Arabidopsis thaliana: one gene and its partners. The protein of the gene in region 2 interacts with the protein of the main gene of each other region in a biochemical or structural test. Each region holds a gene or a part of one and is shown on either strand. Other genes may lie near its edges.

The links. The genes of interacting proteins can lie anywhere in the genome.
Region 1: of the proteins of RVE8 (region 2) and MPK1, one has a biochemical effect on the other in vitro, tested with the Arabidopsis thaliana proteins (one large-scale study listed by BioGRID).
Region 3: of the proteins of RVE8 (region 2) and MPK10, one has a biochemical effect on the other in vitro, tested with the Arabidopsis thaliana proteins (one large-scale study listed by BioGRID).

The regions. Positions count from the first base shown.
Region 1 is NC_003070.9:3,347,380-3,351,680, forward strand, and holds MPK1 (mitogen-activated protein kinase 1), read left to right. Parts: upstream 1-1,702; 5' UTR 1,703-1,939; exon of another isoform or gene 1,940-2,185; 5' UTR 2,186-2,199; coding exon 2,200-2,622; intron 2,623-2,707; coding exon 2,708-3,397; 3' UTR 3,398-3,801; downstream 3,802-4,301. Other genes in the region: WLIM1 (GATA type zinc finger transcription factor family protein), read right to left, coding at 1-58, 250-384.
Region 2 is NC_003074.8:2,944,257-2,949,554, reverse strand, and holds RVE8 (Homeodomain-like superfamily protein), read right to left. Parts: upstream 3,317-5,298; 5' UTR 3,097-3,316; coding exon 2,918-3,096; exon of another isoform or gene 2,642-2,917; coding exon of another isoform or gene 2,631-2,641; coding exon 2,573-2,630; intron 2,492-2,572; coding exon 2,368-2,491; intron 2,299-2,367; coding exon 2,152-2,298; intron 2,034-2,151; coding exon 1,908-2,033; intron 1,829-1,907; coding exon 1,719-1,828; intron 1,632-1,718; coding exon 1,572-1,631; coding exon of another isoform or gene 1,539-1,571; exon of another isoform or gene 1,400-1,538; coding exon of another isoform or gene 1,378-1,399; coding exon 1,285-1,377; 3' UTR 1,259-1,284; exon of another isoform or gene 986-1,258; 3' UTR 538-985; downstream 1-537. Other genes in the region: AT3G09620 (P-loop containing nucleoside triphosphate hydrolases superfamily protein), read left to right, coding at 1-403; AT3G09590 (CAP (Cysteine-rich secretory proteins, Antigen 5, and Pathogenesis-related 1 protein) superfamily protein), read right to left, coding at 4,042-4,602. UniProt on the Arabidopsis thaliana protein: Transcriptional activator of evening element (EE)-containing clock-controlled genes. Forms a negative feedback loop with APRR5. Regulates the pattern of histone H3 acetylation of the TOC1 promoter.
Region 3 is NC_003074.8:22,090,361-22,094,903, forward strand, and holds MPK10 (MAP kinase 10), read left to right. Parts: upstream 1-2,039; 5' UTR 2,040-2,087; coding exon 2,088-2,311; intron 2,312-2,583; coding exon 2,584-2,713; intron 2,714-2,803; coding exon 2,804-2,941; intron 2,942-3,024; coding exon 3,025-3,357; intron 3,358-3,449; coding exon 3,450-3,630; intron 3,631-3,704; coding exon 3,705-3,880; 3' UTR 3,881-4,043; downstream 4,044-4,543. Other genes in the region: AT3G59800 (stress response protein), read right to left, coding at 4,237-4,425, 4,519-4,543.

The DNA.
Region 1 (4,301 bases), on a different chromosome or scaffold from region 2:
TTTGATCGAAATGTGGTCTGCAGTAGAGAACTCCTTCAAAGGAGTTGTAATTGCTAAGCTGACTCATCAAGAAGAAGAAGAAGAAGAAGAAGAAACAGAACAGTCAAATCTTTAGACCAATCAGTTTCCATAGCCAAAAATTCAAAGATTTCTACTTAATTGATTGGACTTCTTCATCTACATATATATCTACTAGATCTACTTCTGGATTAATGAGAAATCATCACAAACTAGAATCAAAGATCAAACCTTGAGAGTTCCTTTGCAATGGTGACATCGGAAACAAGCTTTGTGGTAGACCCGGTTATCGGCGGTTAACTTGTCGACAAGATAAACTGTTTTGTCACATGCCATGCATTTCTGGGTTGTTCCTGCGAACGCCATTCTTGTAAGAGATCAGACTAAAAGACTCAGGAAAAAAGAAAGAAGCTCAATAGTCTTGAGAGAGAGAGAGAGATAAAGAAGAATAAGATGAAGATGAAAGAAAGAGATTGTCAATTATTGTTGCTTGTTTTAATATGGGGACCAGATATATTGAAAAATGAACATGCTTCTTCTTTTTAAATATTTAAAGTAAAATTCTTTTAGGAAAAATTGAAATTTTTAATAAAATGTCACAAACAAAAAAGTTCAAGATGAGTATCGAATTTTGGATGCAAATTCGAATATTTGGTGTTTCTGACAACCCTAGCATTGTTTTTCGTGGTTGTCTAATCCACAAAACAAGATAAGCGATGAATAAATAAATAATTTGAACGTTAGCAACAAAACTAAAAACTGTACTACAAAAAGAAAAGGTTTCAACGGCATTTTTTGTGTTCTTAATTATTTTTGTCCAAACTTGAAGTAACCCGTCAATATCTGTCTCCTAGATATTTTGCTTATATTTTTTTTACATTAATTCAGTTCTTTTATATCTAGAGTCAGGTAATTATTTAGAGAATGCATGCAGTTGCTTGACAGTGCGTAAGATTTACACAAATTTTTCTCAACAGTGAAGGCAATGCTCAATAGTCAATAACTGTTTGTAAGGAAATAGAACAGGGAAAACCAACTGGAAAGAATCTTTGTCTGGTTTTAGATAATGATTAAAAGCTGTATTGGTTATGTTGAATTAGTTGGAAATCTCTAAATATCTATACACTATTTATTTTCTTTAATACTATATGTTGTGTAGTGTGTATATGAATAATGAAAATATCTGAAACATGCTTTACCATAAAGGCTTTTGATGAGCTGTAGTATTGACATAATTGGTTGAAGAGAATGAGTGATCATAATGATACCTAACATCTTTTATTTAATCAAAAATACCTAACGTTATTTTTATTTGCTACTATAATAGACTCCAACCAATTTATTAGTATCATTTTATACAGTTTCTAACATTTTTGCCACTGCTTAGATTTATGGGCTTTCCCTTTCTGTCTGCATGGGCCTCCTCTCTTATATTAATAATCTGACTTAATGAAAACTTTTAAATCTTTTGTAGTTTATTTTCCTCTAGATGCTAATTTTAGCAAAATGAAAAGATGTGTGATGGAAACGTAAAGTTAAAGCAAAAGAAGATGGTGAATTGGTGATGCAATATTTTAGTCATGTGTCATTGTTTACATTTATGATATATTTTACTTTAAAATACTTTTCTTCATTTTCAATTTTTATAAATCTTCGTAGAACACATATTCACAAATGATGCTACTTTGGTGATCAGTTACTAAAAAATACCGAAATTGATTTTAGAAGATAGAGACGTGAATCTGTTTGCCAATATTAATTGGGCTCAACTTAAGCCCAAATTATATAAGGAAAGACTACCTAGTAACGAACAAGTAGCAGGTCAACTGTCCGAGCGTTGGCCAAATCTCTCTCACTTCCACAGGTTTCTCTCTCCGGCCAAATCTAACCTCCGGGGAACGTCGTTGGTCACTTATCACCGGTTAGAATTTCCTTCCCGCTTTATCCCGTAAACTTTTTTCCCATTGATTCCGATCGTTTATGTTCCTTCACCAAATCGATAAAGTTTGATCTTTTTCCTTTTCACTATTATTAACAGACCAATCTGTTTACACAAGAAATCTACAGTAACTTATCACTTGAAAAGTTTTGATAAATAGTTAGTATAATAATTTGTTAATTGTGTGTGTAAATTTGATTTCTTGATTGTGTGTGAATTGTGATGAAGAGGGAAAACAAAAAATGGCGACTTTGGTTGATCCTCCTAATGGGATAAGGAATGAAGGGAAGCATTACTTCTCAATGTGGCAAACTCTGTTCGAGATCGACACTAAGTACATGCCTATCAAGCCTATTGGTCGTGGAGCTTACGGTGTTGTCTGCTCCTCTGTTAACAGTGACACCAACGAGAAAGTTGCTATCAAGAAGATTCACAATGTTTATGAGAATAGGATCGATGCGTTGAGGACTCTTCGGGAGCTCAAGCTTCTACGCCATCTTCGACATGAGAATGTCATTGCTTTGAAAGATGTCATGATGCCAATTCATAAGATGAGCTTCAAGGATGTTTATCTTGTTTATGAGCTCATGGACACTGATCTCCACCAGATTATCAAGTCTTCTCAAGTTCTTAGTAACGATCATTGCCAATACTTCTTGTTCCAGGTGTGTGGTTGATCCCGTTCATTTACTGTTGGTTCTAGCTTTGCTTTCTCCTGAAATTTTGCTTTGCTTTGTTCTTTTTGTGTAGTTGCTTCGAGGGCTCAAGTATATTCATTCAGCCAATATCCTGCACCGAGATTTGAAACCTGGTAACCTTCTTGTCAACGCAAACTGCGATTTAAAGATATGCGATTTTGGACTAGCGCGTGCGAGCAACACCAAGGGTCAGTTCATGACTGAATATGTTGTGACTCGTTGGTACCGAGCCCCAGAGCTTCTCCTCTGTTGTGACAACTATGGAACATCCATTGATGTTTGGTCTGTTGGTTGCATTTTCGCCGAGCTTCTTGGTAGGAAACCGATATTCCAAGGAACGGAATGTCTTAACCAGCTGAAGCTCATTGTCAACATTCTCGGAAGCCAAAGAGAAGAAGATCTTGAGTTCATAGATAACCCGAAAGCTAAAAGATACATTAGATCACTTCCGTACTCACCTGGGATGTCTTTATCCAGACTTTACCCGGGCGCTCATGTTTTGGCCATCGACCTTCTGCAGAAAATGCTTGTTTTTGATCCGTCAAAGAGGATTAGTGTCTCTGAAGCACTCCAGCATCCATACATGGCGCCTCTATATGACCCGAATGCAAACCCTCCTGCTCAAGTTCCTATCGATCTCGATGTAGATGAGGATTTGAGAGAGGAGATGATAAGAGAAATGATGTGGAATGAGATGCTTCACTACCATCCACAAGCTTCAACCTTAAACACTGAGCTCTGAGCTCAAGTCTTGTTTGTACGGGTAATTTACAGAAAACTTCTTCTTCTTATGTCTGATTGTCATCATAGACTCATAGTGTATATAGTCTTGAAAAATAAGATGAAGACTAACTTATAGTTTAAGCGAATAGTGATGCCATGGAAGCTCTGTTTTATTTAATTACAAGCTTGATGTGTGTCTGTAACATATGTACATAGAGAGAGCTGTTTTTTTTTTTTAATTACAAGTTTGATGTGTGTCTGTAACATATGTACATAGAAAGAGCTGTGTTTTTTTTTTAATTACAAGCTTGATGTGTGTCTGTAACATATGTTCATAGAGAGAGCTGTGTTTCTGTTTCTCTGTTTGTTTGTTGCGTTCTTGCAGAACTTTTAACCCTCTCATGCAATCCAAGCCTTTTGATGAATCAAGTTTTCATATAGTTGTTCTCATATAGCTTAAATCTAAGAATATCAACAATTAAGCATTTTGTTATATGAATATTTGATGATCACACCATGATCATAGGCCTTCGGATTCATAGAAGGGGTAGGCCTTTGCACCGAACCTAACTTTCCAAATCGTAACAAAAACAATGTATTGTTTTTCTTTCAATTTCTTAATGAAGTTCTATAAGATAATTTTGGTGAGTAGTATCAGTACCCTCCTCATTCATTTATCACATGATATGCTTCATTTTTTTGTCAACACATGATATGTTGCTTCTATTGGTTAAAAAGCCTTAAAGGCTAAAAGCTTTTTCTTCTACACCAACTTTCCTTCTCATAATTCATTTTTCTTTTCATAGTATATAAATAACTTGGAGGATTTTCCAATTTTTGTAAACCCATCAGAAATTTAAATTAACAATGAATATTCCAACTATATGTTTATGGTTGAATCACTTTTGTCTTTCTTTCTCCCC
Region 2 (5,298 bases):
CCCTCCTACTGATGGAGCAGGCCGCGTTGCAGCCATGATTGCTGCTGCTAACGTGCAACAGTACCTTGCAAAGATTCAAGCTGATGCGATACCTGAACACTATGAAGCAGAATTGGAAATCAATGATTTCCCACAGAATGCTCGGTGGAAAGTTACCCACAAAGAAACGCTGGGACCAATATCAGAGTGGAGTGGAGCTTCCATTACCACTAGAGGTAAGTTTTATGAGGCAGGACGTATCCCGGGACCTGAGGAACGCAAGCTCTATTTGTTCGTCGAAGGGCCTACCGAAATATCTGTTAAGACAGCGAAAGCTGAACTCAAGCGTGTTCTTGAAGACATAACTAACCAAACCTTCTCCCTTCCTGGAGGAGCACAATCAGGCAGATACTCTGTTTTATAAAATCATGAGGTTTTTGATTCTAGGATTTTTTAAAAATTATTCAGAAAACTAGTAAGTATTGATTGATGTTGTTGAATACTTGAATACATACAATCTCTCCACAATTGCAAAATCTTTTTATAGACTTGACTTGGTTTCCTTATTAAAAACAAAATTCTGAATCAAACCCCATAATATATAAAGAAAGCTGTCAACTTTAAAACAATAGAGTTGCCGTCATTTACTTAACACTGATCTTGAACCATTACACTCAGTCCTAGGACTTATCTTTTACACAAATACACAACAACTGAACAAAAAGTTATGACGAGATTTTAGTACAAGAGTAACGGGTGGATGAGAATGAGGCTGTCTTGCAACTAGTAGAAAAACCCCTTACATATATTATACCTACCATTCACCCAACTAGTCCTGGTCAAAATCTGCGGAAGCCCCCTATAGCTTCAAAACTTGGCTTATGTTTCTCCTCAAAACAACAAAGACCTTTTACACAATTCCCACATGATGATGCAGTGACACGATTGTGATTCCAGTGACGTATAACACCAAAGTTTATTAAACATGGGAAACCAATGAGTAAACCTGCCAATACGGTGAGAACCATATAACTCTTATGCAAGACTTTACAAAGTTTGCAAGAAGCCTGAACTGGTGCTAATACTCAAAATACCGTAGTGTATATATCTTGTATCCCAGACTGTGACTAACTATAGAACTCTTATTGCAAACCTTAGAGTTAGAGAACTGTCACTAGACTTATATCTAACCATGAACTCATGTGACTTCTAATAGTAGTGAAATGTTTTCTTGTACTGAATTTAAAAGGTCAGAGGAAAAAGAGGGAAAAACACTTACTTGCTAGCTGATGGCTCATATTTTTGTTATGCTGATTTGTCGCTTGTTGAGTTCTTGACAAGGGAAACAACGCTTGGGAGCTCGGTCGTCACGTTGTCATATGATAAGAGGACTTTCCTCTGCAGCATCATTACAATCCGACTAGCTGAGGTTAGATTAAATTTGATCACGCAAGCGCAAAAAAACTCATTTCAATGTAAGGAACCAAAGATCATAAAAGAAGTGCCTCCAACTCATTGGTTGAGAGTGAAATAGTTTCAGACTCTGAGAAAGTTGGTCATCACAAATCTTTTATCGCAAATTTAACACTTACAGTGGATTCTAAATCAGGGTTTGATAAGTTAACTGTGAGGTTTCTCATCAATAACAGAACCTGTAAACACCATACTATGTGATTAGTGAAGAAATGCTAAGAGCTTGAACACCAATTAATCTGAAAGCTTGTAAACTCTTGACTCACAGTTTCGAAATTTATAGGATCCATTTCCTTGAGCTTTTCCACATGGCCTCTCGTTTCAGGATCAAAGACACTCCCAATGAAATTATAAACTTCAGCAAAATCAGGAACACCTACAAAGATAGTATCAGTACAGTCTCCATCATGCATAAAAGTTAGTGAAAAAACATGGAATTGTTCACAGATGGTTACCGTGAAGCACTGGAGGCTGTTTAGCCTTTCTTACAATCTCAGAACCTGATACTGTTCGGCTTGAGCTTCCCATGCCAGATGTAGAAGGGCTACTAACATTTAATAAGCCCTTTGATCCAATATCAGCTGAATCAGTGGCGTTATATGCCATAATAAGCACATGAAACGTCCTTTGATGGAACCTATTCTTACTACAACTACCAATAAAATGAAGAAAACAAAAAGGATAGACAAATGTGCATGCCTTCTGCTCCACGAAGAGTAGCAAGTTCATGTTGTGGTGAAATAACTCTGTTTAGCAGCATTGAGGCATCATCCCATGAAGCATATCCCGGCATGTCGCCATTTCGCGTAGTAGTAAAAGACGTGGAAACTTGAAGTGGCATTTGAGCTGCAAGAAAATGTGAGTTAAAAACTCAACTCTATAACCAAACTAAGAAGTATTATAAAATATTCGAACCGTTCTTTGATGCCTTTTGAGGATACGGATGAGCTGCTTTGCGCTTAGGTCGAGGAGGTGGCACATGAGCTAATGTCCCGTTTTTCTGAACCTTGAGAAAGTATTTTTGAGCATGACTCCTTATCTGCAGTACAAAGTCAAATAAGTTGAAAACATTGCCACAAAGTAACTGCGACCAAAAATGCAGAGTAAGCTATTTTAAAACCTGAATCACAGTCTTTGAACCAACAAAATCTTCAATCTTCTTCCAGTCACGATCAAACCTAAGGAACATAGAGGAGTAGTAGTATCAGCAGAATCAGGTCCTAGTTACATCAATAACACTTTCAAAAAGTCAACACAACTATAAATTTATTACAGTTGAAGTGCTCCAAGAAGCAGATCTTTTTAGCTAAGCAGATTTTTTATAGCTAAGTTACTACTAGACCTAAGCTAAGTAACATAAACTTTCCTCTGTTTGTTCAGTCTATAACTAACTAAACTCAGAAATCAGCAGCAAACTAAGAAATTTGAAGTCTCTAAAAACAGAGAAACAGAGATAAATTATTACAGTTGAAGTGCTTCAAGAAACTTATCGTGCTCTTCCTCTGTCCAGCTCTCTCTTGACTTGGTGATGGTATATGGTTTCCTCACTTTCTTAGACGAACCCTCTGCCACAGCATCCGTCGATGTTGGTGGTGGCGGAGGTGCTTCGGCGTTCGTTGGATTTCTTGACGGCGACGAGCTCATCGGTTATTTTTCAGATAAAGACAGGTGTAAGAGAGAATGCAGAGAGAGAAAGTAGGAAAAAGAAAAGTCCACATGGCGGGGAAGAAGTTGGGATGTGTATGTGGAGTAGGTTTCACTTTGATCTCAGACCATCCATTTTTCTGACTTTTTTTATTATTATTTCATTCTTTCCTACCACTTCATTTAGAGCCTCAAGCTTGAAGCACGTGTAGACTTGTAGTCTTTTGATTTCATGAAAATGAATCCAAAAAAACGAAAGAGTTTTATACTTTAATTAAAACAAGTGGCCTAACATTTATCTTTAACTTGCGAGTTTGTGGCCATCAAGCCATACAAGCTTTGGAAAAACCTGGCGGACAAAAGAGCTGAACTCTTCACCTGCAAATATTAGGTCGTTGTCTCTAATATCTAACTGCTTCAGTTTCATCAAATCTCTAAGCACCAAATACGCATCCTAGTATATACCAAGCACCTCTCTTCCAATTTCACCCGAATTAGAGGGCGGCCAAGAACAAAGGTACCTTGTTGTGTCCACTGGGTGCTTGCCGCCCATGTCGTTATGTGAAACATCCAACACTTTAGCTGCTTCAGATGTCTTAGAGAGTCAAGGGATGAAAAGCTCCGATTTAGGCAACAGAGAATTCGGTTTTGTATTCAAATCTTACGAAACAAATACAACAAGTCGATATGTCCGAGTGGTTAAGGAGATAGACTTGAAATCTATTGGGCTTCGCCCGCGCAGGTTCGAACCCTGCTGTCGACGTTTTTTTTTATTATTGATCTTTAATATATAAAATTAAAAGATTCCGAACCATTTGAATTTATACCTCTTCAATACATGGCTGTATATATGTAAGGACCAAGAATAATATACCATCTTCATTACATTAGAAGAAGAAAAAATATTTTGAATCTCTAACAATTTTTTCATTTTAACTGTTTTGATCAAAATGGTCTTTCACCTTCGTAATTCCCGCGTGGATCATATTCACACACCACAAGATAGCCACGACCGTTATGGCATTTCACACGTGCGCATCCAACGGCTGTGGTCTCTCTCCACACCATCTGCGTGTAATGGCCGCACATCTTTCCCGGTGCGCACGTGTTTGTTTTCACGTCGTAGTTAAACCTTTCCTCAAACCATCTCGTCACCACTTTCTCCGGCGACCACGTCTTCTTACGCCGGTGCCAGAAAATGTTCTCACCGTAAGGCCCACCTGAATGTATCATACTGCAATCGGACTTACGTTGTTTAGCCCATTTATCAGCGAATCGGGCCAGGTCTCTGTCCCATCCGAGCGTTGGCACGCCTGAAGAAACACGTGCATCGTTGTGCGCTTGTAGAAATTCTCTCGACAGTTTTGCTCTTCTCGCTCTGTTTACCAAACGCGCCGCCGTGTTCACCGCGTCGGGGATGGAGGTTCCGAGGACGGAGGGATGACCGGAAAAGAGAAGGAAGAGAAGAAGAAGACATGATGATGGATGAGACAACGTTACAGACATCTCCACGTCTCTGTATAATTTTGTCTCTCATCATGATTCCTCTGTTTCTAAGGGAGTTTTTTTTGTTACTTTTGTTCAGTTAGAGATTTTTCCATTTTCTGACATTTTAACAAATTTTCCTGATTCTGTTGTTTCATATCAAACAATTCTTATTGGTGATGATGAGAAAACTACCGTATATTTTTAGATTAAAAAAACGAAATTATTAAGGTTGTTATACTTTTCACAACCCAACAAAAGCTAAAAAGAAAAACAATTCCGTCAACAGCAGGATTCGAACCTGCGCGGGCAAAGCCCAATTGATTTCGAGTCAATCTCCTTAACCACTCGGACATATTGACTTTTGCTCATTGTTTCTACTATATTATATATATACTCAGATATTATCAGTACCAAAATAAACAAACAAAAATAAAAGCTTTTGGAGATAGAAGAAGAGTCTGGGAGAGCTCTTTTACTCATAGCAGTTAAGAAGACATGGAACAGAAAGAAAAAGACAATCCCGAAAGTCGTTTTATTTTCTTAAATATTTAAAACAAGATAGCAGACGAAGTATTAAGCAACAAAATCCATTACACTTATTTAAAATCATTATAAGCCAAAATAGACGGCCTATAAGCAATCACCAGTCTTCCTACTCTTCATTGGTCTTCATCTTCCGCAGGACTAAGGTCGTCTCTTGGGCTGTATCCGTCT
Region 3 (4,543 bases), about 19 Mb from region 2:
GCCAAGAATTACTTTTGTTCGTCTCTTGGAACCGTTAACATCGGCAACAGAAAAAGTGTAATAAAAAAAAACTGTTTTCTTTTCGTTCGGATGCTGAGATTTGTTTTGCAAATTTAGAACTAGCTAAATTGGGTCAAAAGTTATAGGTTACACGTAAAATTATTACAGCAATTTCTCCCCTAATAACTTTGGGCTTTAGGCCCAATAACAGAAGGCCTTAAAGTGGCATACTTAGGGTTTAGTGAAAAAGCAATCGTCATCCTTGACTCAGGGGTCAGGTCAAATCCAGGAGAAGAAGAGGTAATCATTCTACACAGATAGAAACATTTATTTTTTGTTTAATCAAAAGCTAACATTTTGTTGTGACAGTTCTCGTGTTTTCTTAATATAGATGGCAAGACTGATAATCGTGCCAGAATCCGTCTTATTAATCAAGACAAGAACAAATACAACACTCCAAAGTATCGGTTTGTTGTTAGATTTGTATCCTTTTAATTAGTTCATCACATTCCCAGTTGTTAGTGGTGTCTGTTTACATTCTTCCTATCGAGTTTTGTTTGGCCTTGAATGTGAGGAAAGCTAACTTGATTGACCGTATTCGTACACTTCACTCAGCTGCTGAAGCCATATCAATGAAGTTGACGACGAGTGAAAACGTTTCTTCTCTTTAAAAAACTGTATTTCCATCTAGTTTTGATCTTACTTTCGTGGCTTTGAATTTTTACTTTTCATATAGCATCGTTATATTACTCTTTACCTAATTTCCCTACTGTACTTGTGAATTTTCCCGTCGACGTATGTGCAAGTTACTAATTTTATGCAAGTTGTGAATTTGCAAGCGTTTTAATTTCTAAACGAAAGAATACTAATCAGAAACTTAGAAAATTTGACAAGATTAACTAAACATTGTATATGTCTATCGACCACTACTACATTATTTCAATGTGTAAGCATATTTTTTATCATTTAAAATGAAAAACAGAATGGACAATGATAAATCAACGAACGACATTAGCAGAAGTGTGTGGTGTTTCTATTTATCAGCACAAATAGAAAACAATGATAAAATACAGAAGTGGTGATGCAGTGGATTTATCATTTGATTGCTGGACTGTCATTTTTGTTATTAAATCTTATGAACTTTATTTTTTTCTTATAAATATATTATATATAACACATTTAACTAAATTAGATCTCATAAATTTGTTGTAGATTTTTTTTTTTTTTTTGCTATTCCCAGCAATCTACTTAAAAACGAATCCCATCATCACCCAAACATGCTAAGTGTAGCAGAAGGGATAATATTTTGTAGGTAAGGAAACAAATATTTTATTAACCTGTAAATAAAAAATGAAAACCAATTATACACATATTTAAAAACTACCAAACTTAGTATAGTATTATTTTTTTTAAAAAAAATTATAATAACAAAATAATAATAATAATAAATGGTAAGACTTATTTTGAATTATGTTTATTAATAATATTTTTGAGGTTTCTTTGTAAGTGATGGTGATTACATAGAAACTTCATATCAAATATCTATATATTTTAAAATTTCAAGTAAATTGATTTTTCAAAAAATATTATTCTATACTAAATTTAAAGTATATGAAAATACAGAAAATTGTTTACAAAAATGAACACAAATTAGGAAATGAATATGAAGAGTATGTATCCAAATTGTATTGCCATGTTTGCATTTAATTTAAGAGGGTGTATGAAAAGCAAAAAATCTTCTTCTAACAACTTACCTAAAATCATCTCACTTATACACTTCCATAAATTAATTAGTTTTTTTGTATTCATTAGCTGGAAATATATTAAGATTATTTAGTTTTTTTTTTTCCATATGGAAAAGGAAATTCACAGCAGAATTCCTATAAGTTAAAAAAACTTACCTTAAAACTATCAAAATATATCAAAACTCATATCTCCTGGGTCCTCCTGGACCTGGACTTAAACATCCATACTTACACATATCCACTCTATATAAGTTTAGTTCACTACCACTAAACCCAACCAAAGCAAAAACATCACTTCTCTCAACAGAATAGTTTGAGGTTGTGTGAGACAAAAAGAAAACCATGGAGCCAACTAACGATGCTGAGACATTGGAAACTCAAGGAGAGGTTACAACCGCTATTTGGCCGTCATCTCAAATCCTCAAGACGACTATCGATATTCCGGGGACTCTCAGCCATGACGGCAGATACATCCAGTACAATCTATTTGGGCATATCTTTGAACTCCCCGCAAAGTATAAGCCACCGATTAGGCCTATTGGCAGAGGTGCTTGTGGCATCGTTTGGTAATATCCTTTTAACAGAATTAATAGTTTCATTTCTTTTCCTAATCATTTTGAGCACTTTAGAATGTAGATGCCATGACCATTTTTGTGTGTAATTTATGGTTTGGGTTGATAAGTTTCATCTTTTTATGAGAAAAGTTCAAATCGTTTCTATCATAGAGATCTCTAAACAGTTATTATACCATTCATGACTTTTATGTTATTCTTGTTACTTTTAAAATTTCCTCACTTGACACATTAGTTTTTACTTTTCTTTTTAACTTTTTTTACAGTTCGGCTGTGGACTCCGAGACCAATGAGAAGGTAGCAATAAAGAAAATAACGCAAGTATTTGATAACACTATCGAAGCAAAGAGAACTCTTCGTGAAATCAAGCTTCTTCGTCACTTCGATCATGAGAATGTTCGTTTGATTTTATAACTATTGTCTCACCTTTTTTCTTTTATTTTGTTATTCATTAAAAGCTAACTATGTAATATCATTTTTCTATAGATTGTTGCAATCAGAGACGTAATCTTGCCTCCTCAGAGAGATTCATTCGAAGATGTTTACATTGTGAATGAATTGATGGAGTTTGACCTTTATCGAACCTTAAAATCAGATCAAGAACTAACCAAAGATCATGGCATGGTGTGTGTTTAGAGTTATTGTTTCTTGAAACTTAAAAATCATTTTGATTAGTGAGCTTGACACAATCTTCAAATTTTTGGCAGTATTTCATGTACCAAATCCTGCGCGGATTAAAGTACATTCATTCAGCCAATGTGCTACACAGAGATCTAAAACCAAGCAATCTCCTCTTGAGTACACAATGTGACTTAAAGATTTGTGATTTCGGGCTCGCTCGTGCAACTCCTGAGAGTAATTTAATGACTGAGTATGTTGTCACAAGATGGTACCGTGCACCTGAGCTTCTGTTGGGCTCTTCTGACTATACCGCAGCAATAGATGTTTGGTCTGTTGGCTGTATTTTCATGGAAATAATGAACCGTGAACCGCTCTTCCCGGGGAAAGATCAAGTTAATCAGCTTCGTTTGCTTCTGGAGGTAGTAAAGTAAAACCCTTTGTTGTGCCAAGATCATATTCGTTTTTTGTGATTCATGATTAGCTTAAAAAGTCTTGGGACATTGTTTTGCAGCTCATTGGCACTCCATCTGAAGAAGAGCTTGGATCGTTGAGTGAATACGCTAAGCGATACATAAGGCAGCTTCCTACGCTTCCTCGCCAATCTTTCACTGAGAAATTCCCGAACGTGCCTCCCTTAGCAATAGACTTGGTGGAGAAGATGCTAACATTTGATCCTAAACAGAGAATCTCAGGTCAGTTTCTGTCTCCATATAGCCTCTTCTGCAGTTTTATTTGGATTCTTATCATCAGTTTTGCCACTTTGCAGTTAAAGAAGCACTTGCTCATCCATACCTTAGCTCGTTTCACGACATTACCGATGAACCAGAGTGCTCAGAGCCCTTCAATTTCGATTTAGATGAACATCCATTCTCTGAGGAGCAGTTTAGAGAGTTAATCTACTGTGAAGCCCTAGCTTTCAACCCTGAAACCAGCAATGATTGAAAAGGACCATATCTTTGATCCTTGTTCTGTTTTTTTCTTTTCCTTCTCTGCTTTTCTTTGAATAATTTCCCTTTTCATTTCCTTTAATTTTTTCATCTCTCAGAAATTTTGTTGTGCTAAGATTTTCTGCTAGATTCCCTTTTGATGTTGTCAAATTTCATTTTTAAGCAAATAAACTGAAAAACCATGATTCTGTGGGCATCATTGCGACTTTCAATCCAACAAATATTAATACATGAGCTATTGTCAAAAATATAACATTGCAACAAGGAAGAAAGCAATCATATCCTACTTTGAGTATTTTGATTGAAGACAATCTTACTCTTTGTAATAGTTCATTTGCAGTTTTGCTTTTGTCAATTCTTCAAATTGCCAAAGAATCTAGAGAGTGGTACAGGGCCATCGGTTTCGTGTTTACTTTTGCTAGAGTGTTTGTCTCTGCTGGACTTGTGCTTCTTCTCCTTCTTTGATCTTTTCGAACTTGATCTTGATCTTCTAGATTCATCTTCATCACTGCTAGATGACGACTCTGAGGACGAATAATGCTGCAAATTCATAACACAACCGATCATGGTTCATGTTAGCATAAGCTAGAAAACCTCACACTATCTGATATAAGCTAAACTTTTAGAAGGCACCTTTCTCTTTTTGCTTTTCTTCTTC